Caenorhabditis elegans: one gene and its partners. The protein of the gene in region 1 interacts with the protein of each later gene in a pairwise test. Each region holds a gene or a part of one and is shown in the gene's direction. Other genes may lie near its edges. The genes, in order: ceh-18, ceh-54, dcp-66 and K03B8.4.

What was found.
Region 2: the proteins of ceh-18 (region 1) and ceh-54 interact in a two-hybrid assay, tested with the Caenorhabditis elegans proteins (one large-scale study listed by BioGRID).
Region 3: the proteins of ceh-18 (region 1) and dcp-66 interact in a two-hybrid assay, tested with the Caenorhabditis elegans proteins (one large-scale study listed by BioGRID).
Region 4: the proteins of ceh-18 (region 1) and K03B8.4 interact in a two-hybrid assay, tested with the Caenorhabditis elegans proteins (one large-scale study listed by BioGRID).

What each region holds. Positions count from the first base shown.
Region 1 is NC_003284.9:3,854,768-3,859,687, reverse strand, and holds the start of ceh-18 (Homeobox protein ceh-18), read left to right. Parts: upstream 1-1,890; 5' UTR 1,891-1,944; coding exon 1,945-1,990; intron 1,991-3,321; exon of another isoform or gene 3,322-3,322; coding exon 3,323-3,468; intron 3,469-4,920. UniProt on the Caenorhabditis elegans protein: Directs gonadal sheath cell differentiation and function. Also directs gonad migration and plays a role in specifying the differentiated phenotypes of epidermal cells during postembryonic development.
Region 2 is NC_003284.9:6,191,063-6,195,889, reverse strand, and holds ceh-54 (Homeobox domain-containing protein), read left to right. Parts: upstream 1-1,648; coding exon 1,649-1,663; intron 1,664-3,532; coding exon 3,533-3,787; intron 3,788-3,837; coding exon 3,838-3,985; intron 3,986-4,037; coding exon 4,038-4,285; downstream 4,286-4,827. Other genes in the region: T13C5.9 (DUF282 domain-containing protein), read right to left, coding at 4,767-4,827.
Region 3 is NC_003279.8:7,536,141-7,543,857, reverse strand, and holds the start of dcp-66 (Transcription factor dcp-66), read left to right. Parts: upstream 1-1,698; 5' UTR 1,699-1,846; coding exon 1,847-1,855; intron 1,856-2,210; coding exon 2,211-2,879; intron 2,880-3,200; coding exon 3,201-3,823; intron 3,824-4,356; coding exon 4,357-4,555; intron 4,556-4,598; coding exon 4,599-4,683; intron 4,684-5,272; coding exon 5,273-5,394; intron 5,395-5,690; coding exon 5,691-5,825; intron 5,826-5,869; coding exon 5,870-6,086; intron 6,087-6,249; coding exon 6,250-6,365; 3' UTR 6,366-7,717. UniProt on the Caenorhabditis elegans protein: Transcription factor which binds to the 5'-CCATACATTA-3' motif found in the promoter region of pgp-12 and activates its expression in the excretory cell.
Region 4 is NC_003283.11:11,394,265-11,397,046, reverse strand, and holds K03B8.4 (uncharacterized protein), read left to right. Parts: upstream 1-1,922; coding exon 1,923-2,032; intron 2,033-2,080; coding exon 2,081-2,261; downstream 2,262-2,782. Other genes in the region: Zinc metalloproteinase nas-18, read right to left, coding at 1-50, 449-613.

The sequences.
Region 1 (4,920 bases):
TTTCCACGCGCCCCTTCATTTTTCTCCGCCATTCACCAACTTTTTTATTCATTTTTCCTTGGGACCATGCAACGACTACATACATGTCCACCACGACTTCATTGTGATTATTCATAGAGCCATTTGGCTTTTTGGGGGGAGCCGGCCAAACGGCATTCTTTCGCTTGCATAGGCAAATGTCGTATATCCAGAGTGTCAGCAGGGCAGGAGCAGCGCTAGAAGCACCGTCGTTTCAAATCGACGCCATCTAATATGCATATTTGAACAACTGCGCGGTTTTGCCCACAGATCTGGCCGCCGCAATGCCTTTTTGCCTTTTACTGGCTAAACATGAATCCGACCAGTGCGATCATCCACATTTCCTCGTTTTACAGTACAGCTGAAAACAAAAAAAGATAATGGAGCTTTTGAAGGAATGGGGACTTTGTAGGAAAAGATAATAGATAATCAAGAGAAGTACATCACGTTTCGAATTGCCTCAACTTTAGGGCTCATGTGTCAATGCTCATTTCGTTAAGCTGATGACCTCTCGATATCGCATCTGTTTCTCCATGTTTCATTCATACTACTACCTATTCTCCGTCTTATCCCTTTTTCCTTCCCAATTCTTTGTCTCTTTCTTGCCAAACAGAACAACACCTCCCGAATCAACATTTTATCCCCCCACAATCAATCACTCAATAAAATCCATCAAAAATCTTTTGATAATCAAAAATGCCTCGGTGCCTGACTGCCGAACAAGCCGGCGGGGCGTCGTCTTTTTTGTTAGCAGTTGTGTTGTCTGTCATCCTACGTAATTTTGTGAAGACTCGAATTCATGAGCCAAGTGGTGCTCAAAAGACTAGGTAATGAATGTGTAGTGTAATGGCCGGGAAGAGTGAGCCTCATACACAAGATATCATATCATCTTATCTCCAAGATGTATTTCGAAGAATCTTTTTTGAATATTTCACATTCTCCATTTTTACAGAGCTAACTGTTTTTTCAGCTTCAACTAGAAATTTTCTCAACAGTGAGAATGCAAATACTTTCAGAAAATGATGTGTAAGTGACAAACATAGGCACTCTCGGAGCTACAGAACCAATTTCTCTTCTTATCATATGCAAATTTGGCGTTTTTTAATACTCTAATGTGTTATTCAAAGCTTATCAGTCAAATTTTCTTTATGATCTCATACAGTTCGGCAACATCGAAGTTTAAATTTCAAATTAGGACGCGATAGATTTTACCCTAGTTTCGTTCCTAGATATTAGAATAACTTAGATAATAGAAGAAAAGTGATGCGAAAAACAGGGACTCGAAAATTGTTTTAAACAAAGTGTCCTATGCGAAATTCACTTCATTTCTTTTATTTTTCTCTTCCTCTCCCACATTTTTCGTCGAGAGCTATCATAACAAGAAGAGCTGAACGCGATGCAGCAGTAGCCGCAGAAAAATCAGATCGAATCATTAGGCGCATGCGACAATTGGCTGAAAAATACTGAGACACAAGTCGCACTAGAACGCTTGGCTGTCAGCTAGTTAGGTGCCGCTCGGCTTTTCCTCCCCACCCCGAGAGTGGTTGATTTTATGCCAATATTACAACTTCTAGGGTGGCTCATTTTCCTGAATCGCCGATGCGATCACCCTCGTCGGCAATGAGTGGCCCCCACGCGTTTCGCTTGATCCATGCCGCCGATTTGCTCACATGAAACACATTCTTCATTTTCTTTTCTCAATTGACGGAATATTACATTTTGTTTATCTCGATTCTCTTTTCTCAGTCAATCTTTTCTGATTCGTCATACCTTCATTCACCTTCCAGCTTATACAGTTTCGATTTATTTTTAATTTTCATCTATCAAAACCACATTCTCTGTCGGTCTTATCCAACAGTGTCTCTGTTTCAGACGTAAAAAGTCTCTATCATCATCCTCACAACACATATCATCAATGCAAGAAATATGAACACCTTGGAGAACACGTTTCAATTTCTCGCAGAAGTATTCGGTAGGTGATGCTTTATCAATATCCGTTTCTTTTTCTAATTGTCGACTCTTCGGAGTCTGGTCACAAATCAAGCGCGTTGCTGTAATAATTCATTTTGACTGATTTTCGTGAAAAGCTAATGACAACGGTATGTTATAGGCGATGATTGTCTACCTGGACGCAACAATTTTTTAAAAATGTTGGTCAGATGCTCTTTTTTTGCAGTTTTAAAATCCAAATTCACTTGTGTAAAAAAAAAAAAAAATTAGGCGTTTTTCAAAAATTGTATGGGTTTTTTGATGAAAAAGTGAAACTTTTTGCACTTTTGAGCAAAACAGTTTTGTTGGGTTTTTTCTTGTTTTTTGAGCCTGAAAATGAAATATATGTACATTAAGAAACTAATTCATGTGTATACTAAAATCGAAATGGTATGTATAAAATAATTAAATATTTTTTGGAGTAGCAAACTCAAAATTATCAACTTTAGTTTTAACAACTCCAGAAATAACTTTTGAGAAAATAAGGGTCAAAAGTTTTTTTGAATTTTTGAATGCATTTTTCTGTATAGAAAATTGTCAGAAATTCAAAAAATTATAATACTTGCAAAACATTAAAATAAATTTTGGATACTCGATATGAAATCACTTCAGACAAAAATTAATTTCCAATGTTACGCTACCAGCTTTTCAAAAAAATTGTAAAAATTTAAAGTTTGACGGTAAACATTTTCCAAAACTCATTTACACTTAAAAAGCGGTTTCATAGCGCTAAAAATTTTACAGTAAACATTTTGAAAGAATTTTCAATTTTTTTACAGTCAAAGAGTGGTTAAAATTTAGTTTTGACCTAACATTTTGAAAACATGTATGTAAGTGTAGCAATGCTCAAATGTTTTTCTTGAATTTTCACCAAAATAATTATGGAGTGTTCTATTTTGATATTCGGCCATCTTAGAGTATTATAAAAATTGTTAGAATGAGTTATTTGACAATTACATTCACTGAAACGTTGATCAGTTATTAAATACTGTAAGTTGATTTGTAGAACAATGTACACAAAATAAGTAACTCCAAATTATCAATTAAAAGTTTATCATTTCATTGAAAAATCACAGTAGTGAAAGTACTATCAAAACTTGATCTATTGATCACCGTTCCGTGTGTCCTTATTTTCGCGTTCCACTACTTACACAGATTAACTCAAGTTCAGCGTCGTTGATGTTAGCTTTCGAAAAAAAAAACTTCTGCGCGAATTTGATTGGCATCGTGAAAATGAGATAACATGTTCTGATTGCTCAAAAAAGGAACTTTTCTGACTAGATGCTGCTCCATATTTCTTGTGCACATTTTTCAGAAGCCAATGGTGGTTGCCTTGTCACAGAACGTGTCAGTCCATCTTTGTCGGGAGCCAGCAAACGAAAAAGTCGACCGGTGAAGAGGATCATCACTGAAGACGAAGTAATCCCAGAAGAAGAAGTGGTCGAAGAAGAGGAAGAAGAGGTGAGTCTTTTGAAAACAAACTGCTTTCCAATTGGCTTTTAAAGTTACCTTTTTTCTCAAATACGTTTTTATTTGCAATCAGTGAAAAAAAAAATTTAAGCTGTTTCATAAAACTTTATATATACTAAAATGATTAAAAAAGCTATGAAAATAGTTATAAAATACCACACATCTAAATTAGTCAGTAATGTTTTTCCACTCTCATCGGACCCAAAATCAGACCTTTCCAATTCAACTCGGCCATCCCAGCCCATCGCATCCATTTGCTTTCTCAAGATGAAGCAGTGCAATGAAAGTGTGGGATAATGCAATAAAGGGGTGGCTAAAAAGGAAAAGAGATGCGGGTATCGAGATAAGCAGATTCGGGAGTTGGCCCTTGTTTATGATGTAGGACAAAACTAAAAGTAGGCAGAGGAGAAAGCCGAGCCGCGTCGTTCTGTGTTTTCAACTTTTCATATTGGTCCTTTTTTTAGGCGAAATCTTGGGAAATTTAGTGATTCGTCAAGATAAAAATTTTAATTTAAACTGTTAATTTACTGTTCTGGGCATGATCCTATTTTTTATCTTTAATCATCTTATTAGGGAAAAAACAATTTTTAGTTTTTAGTGCAAAATTCCAAACGAACCAGTTTGTTGCCTGTCTCAAAAATTACATTTTCAAATATGGATAAAAATTTAAACCATCGTCTTATTTAAAAAGTATTTTTTTAATTTATTTTTTAACATAGATTTTTACTGTTATTGTTAATGTGTACATATTATTTTATTTTACTCTTCTGTATCTAGAAATTCTGCATAGTTAATTTTAAGAAAGGGCTCGAAACAGTAAGATTAACATTTTTGAATAAATGTTCTAAATTTTATTTATTAGAACTTTTAATGTCTATTTTCATGACCGTTTCATAAAGAAATAACTAAAAAAATATCGTAAAAATAACTTTAGAAATTGATTCAACTAGATATTCCTTATCATTTTTGACCGAAAAGATATTTGGAAAAAACAGTATTGAGATGACGGTCGCTAACTATTTTCAGCGACTGCCACTGTATATAAACTGCTTCACTTTTTATACATACCTTTTTAGCACAAAAGTGTATTTTCTAATTACTAAAATTTGTTAAATTTCAAGCCTTTTCTTCTCACGTTTTCCAACTTTTCCCACGCTGTAAAAATTTTTTGTTTCGTAGTATTTTAATTTTGGATTAAGGTTCAGTCAGGTCATTTTATCATTTTTTTTTAATTAAAAAACAAAATTTTTGAATGTATTTTCAGTTCTTTTTTCCTTTACTTTTGTAATTAATTTTCATAACTTCTATATTCACATTGAAATTGTATCAAACTACAGCAGCTCTGAACATTTTTGAGCATCCTCAATTTTTTTTCAAAATTAGAGACCTCTGGAAATAAAGAAAGTAGGTTGGCTGACCCAATCATGCTGCAGCATTTTTCAA
Region 2 (4,827 bases), 2.3 Mb from region 1:
CCGGAAAAGGAATGTGATTAAATAAAAATCAATTTCCGGCAGAGTATGACAAAATAGATGATTTTAGCAATCCTTACCACTTTTTTATTTTTCTGAAACCAAAAATTCAAAAAAATTTTCACGCGTCTTCAATTTTTTCCACTGAAAATTAATCTTGAAATAACTCTAAAAATTATGTTAAAATCTATAATGTGAAATTTAATATCTCAAAGTCTGTTTGAATTATGTAGTGCAATAAAAAAGCTTGCAACTCTACCATTTCGTTAAAAATATTCTTAATTGAACGCTTATTCTGTGCTTTTAAAATCTGATTTTAAATGTTATACATTTTGATTTTCAGATTTTGAAAAAAAAACTATTTTAGTATCAATTTTTTATTTCTCATTTGTCAGAGTTATTTTGAATAAGACAACGCAATACTTATTTTGTTGTGCAACATAAATAAGTATTTTAGTTTTTCTGGCGGTAAATAATTAATTTCAGGGAATACTTTTAATAGGCCACATTATCAATGGCTTCACTTCTGTTCATAGAATTTTCTAATGGGCGCTTGGTTTCACCAGAAACTAAAGGACTATTTCCTGTTTTCCCGCAATAGCCTAATTCCATCAAGCTCTTGCTCGTATATGCTCAACTTGAAATCTAATAAGCATATTCATCCACTTTCATAAATCATTACTCTGCTCATCAGCGTGGAGATTATGCTAATCGTCAAGGTTCATCGGATTGACATTTACTGCGGGAAAACCATTATGAAGACTAAAATGGAAACATCCGTGTTCTCTTTCCTCTTTTTTCACAGATCTTATAACCTTTGTAATTTAATCTGCAGTAAGCGCGAGACAATGAACATCCGAAAGTCGTTGTCGTCAAACTATAGCTTTAGTATGAAAATATAATATTTCGAATTTTTTGACTACATTATTACGAACACGTCCTAGTTCTGATCACACCTGTCACAGAGTGAATTCAGGTTAGAAACTACTTGCCTCGTGCCACTATTAGTACAAATTACCCCTTTTTGTTTCTCTATATGCTCTGAGATTTGCATGATATCTTCTGGTTTCAGTATAATTTTCAGCCAGATTCTTGAGCAAACCAGATTGGTATTATATACTGATGAATTTTTGCCATTTTTTAAAAGTATAAGATTTCCAGTGTTTTTTGAAAATTTTGTTTTTAAATGAAAATGTTTTTGAATAATCATTTGATTTTGTACAATATATATCAGCATCTCTTTATTAAAACAGATTAGAATTTCATAATATCTCGACAACTACTTCCGATGCTCACTCTTTTCGTGTGTTTTTGCTGTTCCGGAAACAGAAAGTTTCCGCTCACTTTGAATAAGCGCATTATCTATACTATTGGTGATAGGGAGATTACATAACACAGGATACGCCGTTGACGCCATTACACCTTGAAATAACATTATTGATCCCGTAATCCCACTATAAGCCTATATTTTTCTGACTTTTAGTTGACATTTTATTGTATGTAAATTTGTACGTAATAGACTTAAGGCGATCTTTTTGGTTTTTTTGGAGGATTAACTTTTTAATGAAATTTGTAATTTTATCTATTTGCTAAAAATCTAATAATTTTCAGTTTGTTCTTCTATTAATATTTGAAAATCAAAATTTTACAAATGGAGCAACTTAAGGTACGTTCTCACACCTTTATCAATAATTTTAAAGGTCAAGTATAGTCTGCGGGGAAATTATGAAAACTCATTTCTATAATGCTCGGTAGGCGTATGCGCACATTCCGCGCACTTTCCGCGCACATTCAGCGCACATTGCCCTTGGCGTGGCCATTTTCTCCACCGCTAGCCGTTTGAGCACTTTCCGCGCAGATTCTGGGCACATTGGTTTTGGTGTGTTTTTTCATCCAGAAATCATGCATTCTGAGCACATTCAGCGCACTTTCCGCGCACATTCAGTGCACATTGCCTTCGATGTGGCCATTTTCCCCACCATTAGTCTTTTGCGCATATTCCGCGCAACTTCCGCGCCGATTCTGCGCACATTGACTTAGATAATCTACAACTAATGCTCAATTTCTGCTTTCTAAATTATTATAGCATTGTTTAAATTTTATGTCCGAGTCTATATTTAATAGTATTTCTGATATTTGAAAATTAGAGCCAAGAGAAATGGTTTTAATAGTTCTCATTCAAAAACAAATCCGCGTATTGTTTCCAACCAAAAATTCATCAATAACGTTGTGAAACATTCATAGTTCGTTTTGAAATGATGCACATTCTCGACAGAAATAGTTGTAAAATACCAACAACGTCACTGTAGAGTTGAAATATGTTTTCAGAAATATTATATTTGGGTTAACAGGTTGTAAATATACGCCGTCTATCGTTATTGATTTACAACTGCATAATGTCCCACATTTTAAAAGTCAAAATTGTGATTCAAATTAAAAACTATATATCTAGATATGTGCTTACTATTATAGTTAGGGGGAAAATGTATACTGGAGAAGAAAGCGTTCAAATGTTTTCCCAGGAGTCAAATTGAAGAGGTTGTGAAGTTTTACAATCACACAAAGTCTCTTTTTGACCTGATTGAAAAATCAATTGTCATGTAGCTGTTGTAAAACTGAATTATCTGTGAATCTCTGGAAAGAATTCTAGAACAAAAAGTTCACTTAATTAGAGACTTCTAAATTACCATGAAAGTATAAAAATGCGCTGACATGATTTCTCTCTAGTAAAATAATCACATTAACGCTTAAAAACGGAAAAATACTTAATTCACATTTTTCCATAAATATGTGATTGAAAAACAAGTTCAAAAGCCAATGAGAAATCCTTTATTATTGAATTACTGTGCCAAAAATGCTTTATCGTTAGTTCTATGTTTCTCCATTGACTTTCTCATTTGCTTATATTTATGGCGCGTTAACTGCTATTAACATCGCATGCGTTATGTCTCAACAGGTAAGACTTCAGACTTTCAGGGAAAACATCACAGGTTCAATTCGCAGCAAGGACACTGGCAATCAAAATACACTGCAAGCGAAAGGCAGTGAAACACCACCACTCTGCATCATGAGCACATTCCGCGCACATTGCGTTTTGGTGTTCCTCATTTTTTAACTGCCCTGCATTATGCGCACATTCCGCGCACATTCTGAGCAGATTCCGCGCACATTCCGAGCGGATTAAAAACAAATGTATTAAACCGCTCGGAAAGTGCGCGGTATGTGCGCATACGCCTACCGAGTGGAAAAAGGACTAAACTTCATGCAAATATTTTAGACAAAAATTTTGGAAATGTTTTATTTCGACTCAAAAAGTGGGGAAAACTGGGTCAGTGCATTTTGTCGCGAAATCTGAAGCACTGTCGCTTTTTTGAATCCCTACAATTTCGGTCACCCCTTTTTGACTCAAAATAAAACATTTTCCAATCATTTTTGAATTTTTTTAAATGATATTTGGGCATTTTAGTGCCTAACTGAATGGTTTTTAGTCATTTCCCCCCTGGCCTTAGACAAAACTAAACATTTTGCATTTCAGAGTTTAATTTCGCCTTCACTGCAAGACATTTTGTGCAAAATTCAATTTAATGACACCCAATTTGAAACTACAAAAAAGATCACGCGAAAACGATCGAATAACTTCAATCCTGACAGAAAGAAACGGAACCGAATAACGTTTGATGCAAATCAAATCGATGAGATGGAAAAGGTGTTTGCAGAAAATCAGTATCCGGACACTATGAGCCGAGAAAAATTGGCAAACAAAATTCAACTTCACGAGGAGCGAGTTCAAGTGAGTTTCGATACTTTTGGAAGGCGTGAAGTTATATAAATAATTTTTAGATTTGGTTTCAAAATCGTCGTGCAAAGTATCGTCGAGAGCAGAAACAAACTGGCCATCCATACGAGCCACCTTCAATCACTAAAAATCCTACAGGTGAAAAAGAAAAAACTCAGGATTGCACTACTTTGACAAGTGCATCATCTCCAGGTAAATATCACATTTTTACAATTACACGTATTCACCTGGTTTATAAATTTAGGCCCTTCAAACCTATCTAATGATACTCTTGTTTCAATTGAAATGGCACCTAAAATTGGAACTAAAAGCGTCAATTTGTTCCCAGATCAGGCTCTTTCAAACACTCTGAACATGATCATCAATGCTAACAAAAATGCTTCGGAAAACAATTATGAATCCGAGGATCAATTCAATGCGGAAAGTGCGAAACTTTTAATGCTAACTCTTTCCAATTTATTCAGTTTGCAAAATGAAACCACTTGTGAATGATTTTATAAAGTTTCCGGAAGATATATGTGCTCAACCCAGCAAGTGTAAAAATTCAAAACTTAATATTTAAAAAACGGTAAAACAAATGCATTCTTAAAGGAGTATCAAAAATGAGGATTTTGTCTTAAAATGACACAAAAAGATAAATATCTGAACAAAACCCTCTGAAATGTTTCTGATTCTTCAAAAAAAAAACTTGTGGAAAAACTGGTTTTTTGCCGATTTCCAGAATAATGACGATTACTCAATAGTAATCGTCACTTTCTGATTGAAGAAAAAACTAACCAATCTTAATATATTTCACTACAATATGCGATCATTTCATTACGCCACTTCTTCATCAACTTCTCTGGAAAATTTCATGGTATTTGTGAACCACATTTGTTTTCTCCTGTATTGAAAACAATTTATTCAAAAGTTAATTATTATCAGCACTAAAATAAGTGAAATCTAAGGAATTCAATATTAGTCGTAAACTTATTTAACCACTTATAATTGGGCGACAGACTAAAGAAACCAATTGAAACTTTAAAAATTCAGTC
Region 3 (7,717 bases), on another chromosome or scaffold:
TCGAACCTAGAAGTGTTCAATCAACACCGAATTTAGATTCAGCTCCCGACGTGGGGAGAGTGGTTGCGATGTTGGCAGAGCAAGTAGGACATGATGATTAGACGTTTGAGCATATTCAGTTGGACAGCTGCTGCCGTCTTGGCACCACCTATATTGAATCCCAGTTGGGGTCAGGTTCGGGCCGTGTGAGATGGAAAGAGAGAGAGAAAGTAGGGAGAGAGTGAGTGTGTGCGTTTTGTGTGTGTGAGGGTGTGTGTGTGTGTGTGTGGCCGAGTGTCATTGTTCGAGTAGAATGAAGCGAAACAAGAAATAATCGATTGACTTATGTGTCCTCCTCCGCCTTCCTTCATCTTCTTCGTCCGTCCGTCCCCGTCCGTCCACGCACCCTCAGCCGCTCCTAGTGGTTTTCAATCTTCATCCTAGTCTTCATCAGCATCATCGTCGCCGTCATCTCAATTTGTTTCTCACGCGCTTAATGTTTGTATTTGTGAATGTGCCAAGTACTACCACCGTACTTGTCGGTGCAAGACACCACCATTTTAGTGTGTTCTAGAACATTTTGTAAGAGAAAAGAAGTCCACAGCTCTTCCAAATCTATTCCAAATATATTACTTTCAGGACTGAATTTTCGCTAACATGGTTTTTGGTGGATTACCGTTTCATGAATTCCAGACTATCCTAGGTTAAATTTACGGAGACTTCACCTAGTTGCGTATCTCCAACCTAATTATGATCCTTGAACCAATAATTTTGTATTGTTTCTCTAGCCTGCAGTACAAAATTAGTTAAACCTCATAGTTTCGAAATTGGTATTTTCACAAAATTCGCCACATTGTATTTTTCTTTAACTATAAAAATTCTACGATATTACCATCTGCATTGCACACAAAAAACATTCTTTTCCAATACTGTGACTTTAAAGGGGGTGACCATTTATTCGAAATGGTCCCGCCACGCGCTCTAGCGTGGCGAGACCATTTCACAAAAATGCGCTCTCCTTTAAAGTCGCAGAAGTGTAGAAATTTTTTTAAATTTTTTTTCGAAAAAAAAACACTGTTTGTGTCGTTTCTTGTTGACCTCTGCTTCACTAAACGATTTTTGAATAAAGATTTGTTCTTTAGTAGATTCTGACCACAAAGAACCCAGAAACCTGTGAATATTTCCAAATATCAGTATCTCAAAATTGCTCTAATCTTAAATTGTTTTGTATGGAGTTTCGCGAATCTTTCCAGTACGGCCTAAGCAAAACTAGCAAAACTAGAAAAAGAGTTCAACTCTCCACCACGGGAAATATGAATAACTCTTGGAAAAATTGACACGAAAGTAGTGTGGTAAAGTAAAGTAGAAAGTAGAAAGTAGGTGGCTTTTGATGAGTTGTAGATGATCACGTTCATCAAACATTTCAAAAGAAAAAAAAACTTAATTTTTCCCATGATCATCTCAACCTCCTTCCCTTTTTTTCCCTAATAACATTTTGCTTTTTTCTCTCACTATCTGCGTATCTTCTTTCTATCATCATTCCCCATTTTCTCTGCGCTCTCTTCTCTCTCTTATTGCTTTTATATTGGGTGAAATGATGTGACGTCACACGGACACCACCTCGTTTTGGATATTCAAATCTTTTGTTTTACTAATCTGCGTCTCTTTCTTACACTACACTATAAGTGCCGGTGACATTATAATTTCAACTTTTATTCCAGAACAAACTCAACACTAACTGATTGCTGTTGTTCTCTTGGACTCCAATGCAAGCTCTCGACGAACGGTGTTAATCGATTTTTATTTTGCTCCGCTCCACTTGAGTTTTGACTGGATTCCATTTATTTAGTATTTATATACAATAAATATGGCACAGGTAGGTGTTTCTATTTACAGTTATATTAAACGAACTCAAAAAATATTTCGTGTTTGGAATATTCAAATTTAATATTTATTATGTCAAGTAATTTTCATTAAAAATGGGGTAGCGAGTTCGATCAATCTAAATACTAAAATTAAAACTTACTGAATTCCGAATTCAGTTCACAAAAAATAACAAATTTTGGAGAAGACTGAAGGTTTACCCTAATAAATGAGAAAATAAGCATTTTCAGTCTATTTTTGGACAGTTTTAGTGTAATTTTAAAATTTTTGCTACCTCAAATTTAGTTGAAAATTAGAATCTTAATTGAAAAAATTCGAATAACTTTTTAAACCCAATGTTTTTAAAGGTTCAACAAGTTCCATCGTCACCTATGAATGGGATTCCTGAAAAGAATGGAAATGGTTTGAGTATCGAAGAATCAGCTTCAACAGCCGTCGCTGCACTTGCACATATTCAAAATGGAGCTGTTCTATTTCATGGAACACCTACAAAAGATTTGAATGGAGCTTCAACATCAATCGATACCGATGATTTACAACTTTCACCGAGTGATCTACGGCGGCGGAGTACACGAGCAAGTGCTCTGAAGGCTCAGGAAAAGATTAAACTGAAAGATGATATTGTACAAGGACCACAAAAACGGGCGAATGATGATGATGATATGGAAGATGAAGAGTTGGGAGATGAAATTAATGAGCAATCAGCTCCAAAAAAAAGAAGACTCGAAAATGGAAAAGAGTTTGATCAAACATGTTTCCGATTTGGACTTCGTGCGAATAATGAAGGTGAAGTATACGCAATGACTGATGAGAGTGAAAATTCTTCAATTCATGAAAGTGAAATGGAAGTTGTGAGGTATCATTATGAAAAAATGAAGAATAAGGAACCGGATGAGGAACAATTAAGAGAACGTTTAAATATGAGAAGAGAAGCTGAAAATCAGTTACGAGAAGAAGAGGCAAAATTGCTAGTTTTGAGAAAAATGAAGGATAGTCAGACAAGAGCTATCACCAAGGTTCGTTTTCTTCACTATTCGAGAAATAAAAACGCCAATTTTAGATAAAAGTGTAACTTCACAAATAGTTTAAAAAAATTTTCATCATAAAACTCGCAAAAATTCCGGATTTTTGCCCTGAGAGAATTGTAGTTAAATTTTCGGCGAGTTATGATCTGAGAATAGGAAATGCTTCAAGTTTTATGCTGATAAAATGTTTCATTCAAAAAACACACATTTTCAAAAAAACCGACAAAAGTGAAGGAAACTCTTTGTGAAACTGAAATCTGTATGAAATAAAAATAAATGATCAAAACTTTTTTGTATTAATATTTTTTCCAGCTGGCCGCCGAAACTAAAGCTGCTGATCTTGCTGAAGCGACATCTGCAGCATATAAACCAGCGGTTGCTACAAATGGAAAATCTGTTACTAATGGAAAGAATTCGATGATTGAGTCAAATAACAAAACAATGAATGGACTTAAGAATCTTTCAATTCCACAACAACTCGAATTACTTCAAAAACTATCATCTCAATCACCAGCTGCCAAACAAGCATACATTATGGCAAAGAAGAATCCAGCACAAACGACTCAACTATTCCAACAACTGATTACAATCAATAATCAAAATCTTCAAAAGCAAAAAGAGCTTTCTGCTGCTGAAACAAATGCTTCTGCATCTGCATCACCTGCAGTACAACAATCTCAACAAGCACAGCAACCACAACAGGCTCAAATCACACAATCAAAACTTCTAAATCAACAGACACCTGCACAAAGGATACAAGCAGCTCGGCTGGCTTTCAGAGCTCAAGCTGATAAGCAATTGACAACAATTCCAACACAAAAAAGTCAACCTCATGATATCACTTTCCTACCGAATCCGAATGCTTCTGCATTCCTGGCATTGCATGGATTGGATCTAGTGGTTCAGCATGTTCTCAAAGATAGATCTAATGAGACGTGAGTTTTTTTTCAAACTATGATTTGTTAAAACACATTGTGATCACGGGTGTCGTCGAAAAAATGTGGAGACTTTTTCAGAAATATTCGGAAAAATTGTTGAGAAAATTAACAGACAATTTCAACAATTTGTTTATTTTGATTTACTTTTTTATAAAACAGGAAAAATTACCAACGTTTGAAAATTTTTAGATTTTTGGTTTTGATCAAAAGCGAAAAACGAACGCTTTACGGTTTCAGAAAAACTGAATATTTCAGAATCATTTCCGGAATTACTTTTTCTGTTCCGGCTCGTATCACATTTCATACAAACAGTCAAAATTTCAAAAATTGTTGAGTTTTAGGTTTTTGAGCCAAACTGAAAATCGAAACACGAACATTTATAGAGTTTTCGGTTTCCTGTAAACGAAAAAAAATCAGACCGGACTTTAATTTCTCAAAAAATGTTTGATAATTGCATTAGAAACTAAAAACCTCGAAAGTTTTAATGTTCAAAATTGAAATGTTTTCATTAAAAAAAAAATTATATTCAGACCATATGCCGGACCATCATACGAATGTGAAGAATGTAAAACCGAATGTGCTCACACTTGGAAAGCTATTGGAAGTACACAAGATGATCTTCATCTTTATTGTGAAAATTGTGTACGATCAGCACAAAAAAGGAAAAATCGAACAGATCAGACAGCTTTATTGAAGAGAGCTTTCCAGAAGATTACGGCACAAGAAAAGGTATTTATTTCGAAATTTAACTGATTATTAAACGAATTAAAAGTTATTACAGGAGTTCGAAAAGAAAATTGCCGAAGGACAATTGGAGCAGTACGCAGAAGCAAAAGCTGCAGCACCTGCTACATCTCGTTAGTTTTATTATTTGAAAGTTAAAATAGTAATATAAAAGTATAAAAATTGTGTCCGCTATCTGAAAAAAAAACTAAAATGATCTAAATCATATTAAAATTATGAAAAGAATTAGTTTTGAAAACTATAGATCTTTGCACTAACTACAAAAAATAGGGTTTTTGTATATCATAATTTAAAAAAAAACCAATTATATAATTTTAAATAAAATTTCCAAACAAATTTTTTCCGACAATTCTTCAATTTGAAAAATTTTAATACAAATATTTTCCTTTTTTTACAAATATTTTGCTAATCTATAGTTTTTTCTTCTTTCAAAAAAATTTCGTCATTTTTTCCCGATTTTTCGACTTTCAAAAACGCAATATTTCTGTTTTTCGGTTTTTAAAATTTTCTCTGAAAAACTCTAAAAAATCGAAATTTTTTAGACGACGATCGACGCCTAAAGTCATTGTCACATTAATAGTTGAACAGTTTAATTCCAAAAAGTTGGGACTAATACACACGTATTTTTAAAAATCGTTGTATTGCTGTTAAAAACTTTTTAAAAAAATTCAAATTCCCCGATGCGAATAAAATTAAATTCAGAAACAATACCAACATCATCAACAGCAACTGTTTCATCAATTCCACTTGTACCACGATTACCACAAATTCCATCATCAACTGGATCAAGTACACCAACACAAGCAGTCAAGACGTCAACACCGGTTAGATTTTTATTTTCAAACCAAATAATTCAAAATTGAGGAATATACCTGGGAAAATATTTTTTACAGTTAAAAAAGTTCAAAATACAACATTTCCAAAAAGACATATATTTTATGAGCTTTTTATTAAAAATTTATAACATTTCGCAATTTTCTAAATTCGTGTATAATTTTTTCATGCAAACAGAAGAAAATAGGCATTGAAGAAGCTTGATGTTACTTTAAAAAATTAGTATTTCTAGACATTTTAAGTAATATCAAAAGTTAGGAAAAAACAATTAATTTTGAATTTTCAGATACACTCGACACCAAAATCATCAAGTTCAAGTGCAAAGAAGACTGCAGCACAATTGCAACAACAAAGTATGCAAGGAATGAATCAATTATTCAGTACAGCAATGTTGAGAAATAATCCTCAAATGCAACAAATGGTATCACTTTTTTTTGAAATTTCAAAAAATAAATCCTTTTCCAGTTGCAAATGTACCAAGCTTTAGCTATGGGAGGAGGGGCGGCAAATATGGCAAATAATCAAATGGCCATGCTATTCCAAGCACAAGCAATGCAAGCTGCTCAGGCTCAAGTCGCACGAGCTCAGGCGGCAAAAGCTCAGGCTGCACAAGCTCAGGCCGCACAGGCTCAAGCCCAGGCACAGGCAAATAGAGAGGCGAATCAACAATCAATGCTAATTCGTAAGTGTTTTTTGGGCGATTTTGTGAAAGATTTAGAACATTAAAAATTGTTTATTACGAGATTAGAAAGAAAAAATTGTGATTTTCCATTGTTTTCTGGTTGGAATATTAACATTTCAATCTACAAAATTGATCGAAAAGAAATAAGTTTTAAACATTTCAGAAGCTCTCATGAGTAATGGTCAAGTGAATGTTCAAGCTCTCCAACAACTTCAAAAACTGACACCTGAACAACAGAAAGCGCTGATCGAAGTTGTCAAACGTCAAACGAGGAAGTGAAAATTTCAAACTTTTTTCGGTTTCTTCAATTGATATTTTATTTCTACTTTTCCTCTATCCACTACCGACAACATAACAAAACTTGTTTCTGATTGAAATCCGGGTTGTTTTTGTATGATTTTTTGTATTCAAATATGATTTCTCGGCATCTCTCTCCCTCTCTTTCTCCTACACTTTTTAAAAATTTCCTTTTTGCAAAATTCAGACGAAGTTTCGAGAAAATCTGAAAATCCACGTGCTTTTCCATCACGGTCATTCTCCATTTTCCTGTAATCATATTCCCATCGCTTTGATTATTTTTATTTCCACAATCGCCACCCCCACCCCCACTATTATCGATTAGTATCCCTAACTTGTAACTTCCAAAAAATTGACGGTTTGTACCAAATATGCTTCTTCTCTTATAGTCTTGATTTTGCTCACTTTTTTTGATATTTCAATTTCAGTGATGTTCAAAGTTCAGATTATATTTGAAGAAGTATACATCTTTAATTCCAAAATTAGAGGGTGTTGAGTTTTTTTTCTAAAACTATCGAACGGATGTGGTTTTATAATTTCTAAATTAAATAACTATTTCGCTTTCTTTTTCCCTTAATTTCCCCCTCTCTCGTTCATATTTAACTTATTCTTAAACCGTTTTTTCTTTTCCTCTATCCACTACCGACAACATAACAAAACTTGTTTCTGATTGAAATCCGGGTTGTTTTTGTATGATTTTTTGTATTCAAATATGATTTCTCGGCATCTCTCTCCCTCTCTTTCTCCTACACTTTTTAAAAATTTCCTTTTTGCAAAATTCAGACGAAGTTTCGAGAAAATCTGAAAATCCACGTGCTTTTCCATCACGGTCATTCTCCATTTTCCTGTAATCATATTCCCATCGCTTTGATTATTTTTATTTCCACAATCGCCACCCCCACCCCCACTATTATCGATTAGTATCCCTAACTTGTAACTTCCAAAAAATTGACGGTTTGTACCAAATATGCTTCTTCTCTTATAGTCTTGATTTTGCTCACTTTTTTTGATATTTCAATTTCAGTGATGTTCAAAGTTCAGATTATATTTGAAGAAGTATACATCTTTAATTCCAAAATTAGAGGGTGTTGAGTTTTTTTTCTAAAACTATCGAACGGATGTGGTTTTATAATTTCTAAATTAAATAACTATTTCGCTTTCTTTTTCCCTTAATTTCCCCCTCTCTCGTTCATATTTAACTTATTCTTAAACCGTTTTTCTCTCCTTTTTCTGAATGTTCTTAAGACTTAGCGTCGTCATCTATTCATGTGATTTTCTTCTGTTTTATGAAAATTGCCCTTCTCTCGTGCAAAACGTTCCATTTTTGATAATCA
Region 4 (2,782 bases), on another chromosome or scaffold:
GTGTGAATAACACCTAATGCATGCATTAATTCATGAACAGCAGTTCCAAACTGAAAGTTTATGTGATTGAGATCTGTCTATCATTCTTTCGGTGTGCCGTGTTTGGAAAATTTTCGAGTTTTGAAAAATTGTTTTCTGTACCTGTCATCGAAAACTTTCCAAAAAAAAAAAACATTTTCAATGCATTACAATTATCTTGACATTCCCGGTAACTTCTGGTCTAACTTTTGACCTCAACAAATATAAAGTGATACGTTTTCCTTGAATCACTTGAAATGAATGATTGATTTAGTTGGAAATAGTTTGCAGTTTCTAGAAAATGCCCACCACTACCAGAAAATAATCCACTTTTTTCACACTGTTAAGGCAACACATAAACATTAAGTTGGTCGTGAACGCCGAGAAACGGAAATATACATATGTATGTCGAAATGAAAGAAAAACTCACGTCTATGCACGTATCGTTAAATGTTAGATGTTGTACTATGTTATTCATCCCAATGTATGATGAACAGCCTTTACCGTTAACAAGTTGGACCCTGTTAGGAATTGAACAGTTTTCTTCAAAAGTCACGCAAGTTTGTGAAGATATGAAGTTCATGGAGAAAAGCATCAATTCTCGCTTTTCAGTACCTCAAAGTACATGTTTATAAGTTGTATTTCACTACTTCAAAATATAATAGAACTTACTGAATGAAGAATCAAAGCAATATAATAATTTTGCACTACTCGGTAGTTGGCTCCTCCTGGGGCGCGAAGGGGGTGCGACTGGCGCGCGAAAAGAGGTGAAATGCGCCTGGCGCGAGGATAGGGCGTGACTGGAGTGCGGAACAGGCGCGCTCGGATTGTGAAAAGAGTATTCTGAAACTGCCAAAGTGTCTACATAAGATGTATTAATCAATTTCTTGCGAACATATTATTGCTTTGAGACATATTTTCACACAAAAGTGAATTGTGTTTGTTCTATACGTTAATTGTAAACGTTTTGCAGCCATGCTAGTTACTGAAAAACCAAAACTTCAATTTAAATTCTGATATGAGGTTAGAAGAGAACAATATGGTTCATCTTACAAGGAAATTGTATTAAAATCTATCAATAATCGTACTGTTATCTAATGATGTTACGTTATAAAATATGTTCATTTTACCTATGCAGATAAAGTTAAGGCGATGTCTTGAGAATGTCTCCATTAGGAAACTCGCAGCATTGGCATTGTGGAGGCACGATGCACACATTCCTAAGAAAGTTGCCCCTAAATGCCAGGTATATTTTCCAATAGAAAGATATAAAAGATATGTGTAGTTTGTGTGAACATCTTCAAACTAATTTTCTAGATCACATGTCTCGTTGTTGTATTTTATACGTTTAGTATTGTGGCACCATATTACTGAAAGCTGAAAGAGACTAGATTGGCAATTATTATATATCAACTACATCATTCATACATATATAACATATAAGTGAAGAGATATATATATATATATATATATATATATATATATATATATATATATATATATATATATATATATATCAACCTGTTTTGGCAATGAGGCTGTCTGAAAGTAACAGGTTCGCGAAGAGAAACTGTTTTTGCACGCCGTCCGCGTTCTGACCGCGCCCCATCCGCGCCCATTCCGCACTCCTTCCGCACCCCTTCCGCGCCCCGTTCGCGCAACACGAACGACAATCCGTCCAAAATTGGCTTATGTTCGAGAAACACCACTTCTCGATGAGCAGCCTGCGGCTCCTGCTATTCCAGAGTGAATAGAATGAGATTAATGAAAGTGATTTATGGAATGATATAACTCTTGATCAAAAGTGTTATGATATTATCGAACAGATCAACGAACTGAAGGCTCGCCGCGATTTCTACGCAAGATTCTACACCGAGCCCGCAGAATTCATCAAAAGCTGGGTGATGAGCCAGAATTCGGACCTGAAGACTATGAACGAGCTGAGCGGGGATCTTGAAGCCGAAAGATTCGCTGAATCCTACGTGAGACCTGAAACAGAGGAAGGAGTTCAAAGGTATTAATGTTTTTCGGGGGTTCTAGAAATTAAAAAGTTTTTTTTCAGATACATGTTCCAAAAGGTGAACCAGAAGCGACATGAATTGGAGCAAATCTTGGTGTTCGATCAAATTAAGGCTCCATTGCCAAAAAAGAAGAAGTATGTGGACTCAAAACAGGTAAAGAAAAAACGAATTATTGCTAAAGAAAACCAGCTAGTAAAACAATGTAAAATATTAAACGAATAACAAAATGACATATAGGAAACCATGAAATGATAACTTTGAATTAAATTAAGTAACAAAAAATTGATGAGACTATTTTTGAGCTTTGAAGATGCGAAGCTACATATTTGCAAATACGTAGCTTTTGATCAAAACATTTTTGAAGCAATAGGTTGCTCTAGTTGCCGTTTCACGGGCATAATTGTGTAAGTCTATTTTTAAAGATATTTCATTGATTTTTTCAATATACTGACTTAATTAAATAGATTAATTTGAGCTTTTCAGAGAGGATGATGATCAGCAACACCAGTCTCCCGCCGTCTAGGGATCAATTGGCCTGCAGCCAAGCTGTCTTCAATCTGTTAATTTATTTTTTAATTGTTTTTCCATTGTTCGTTGTTGTAATAAATGCAATTCTTATTAATCTAAGATTTCAATTTCAATATGAAAATCGGCGGGAGCGAGAATAAAATCGAACCGGGCGCGTAGTGTGTGCGAAAGAAATGCGCTCGGCGCGCGAAAATTGTGCGACTAGATCGCGAGAC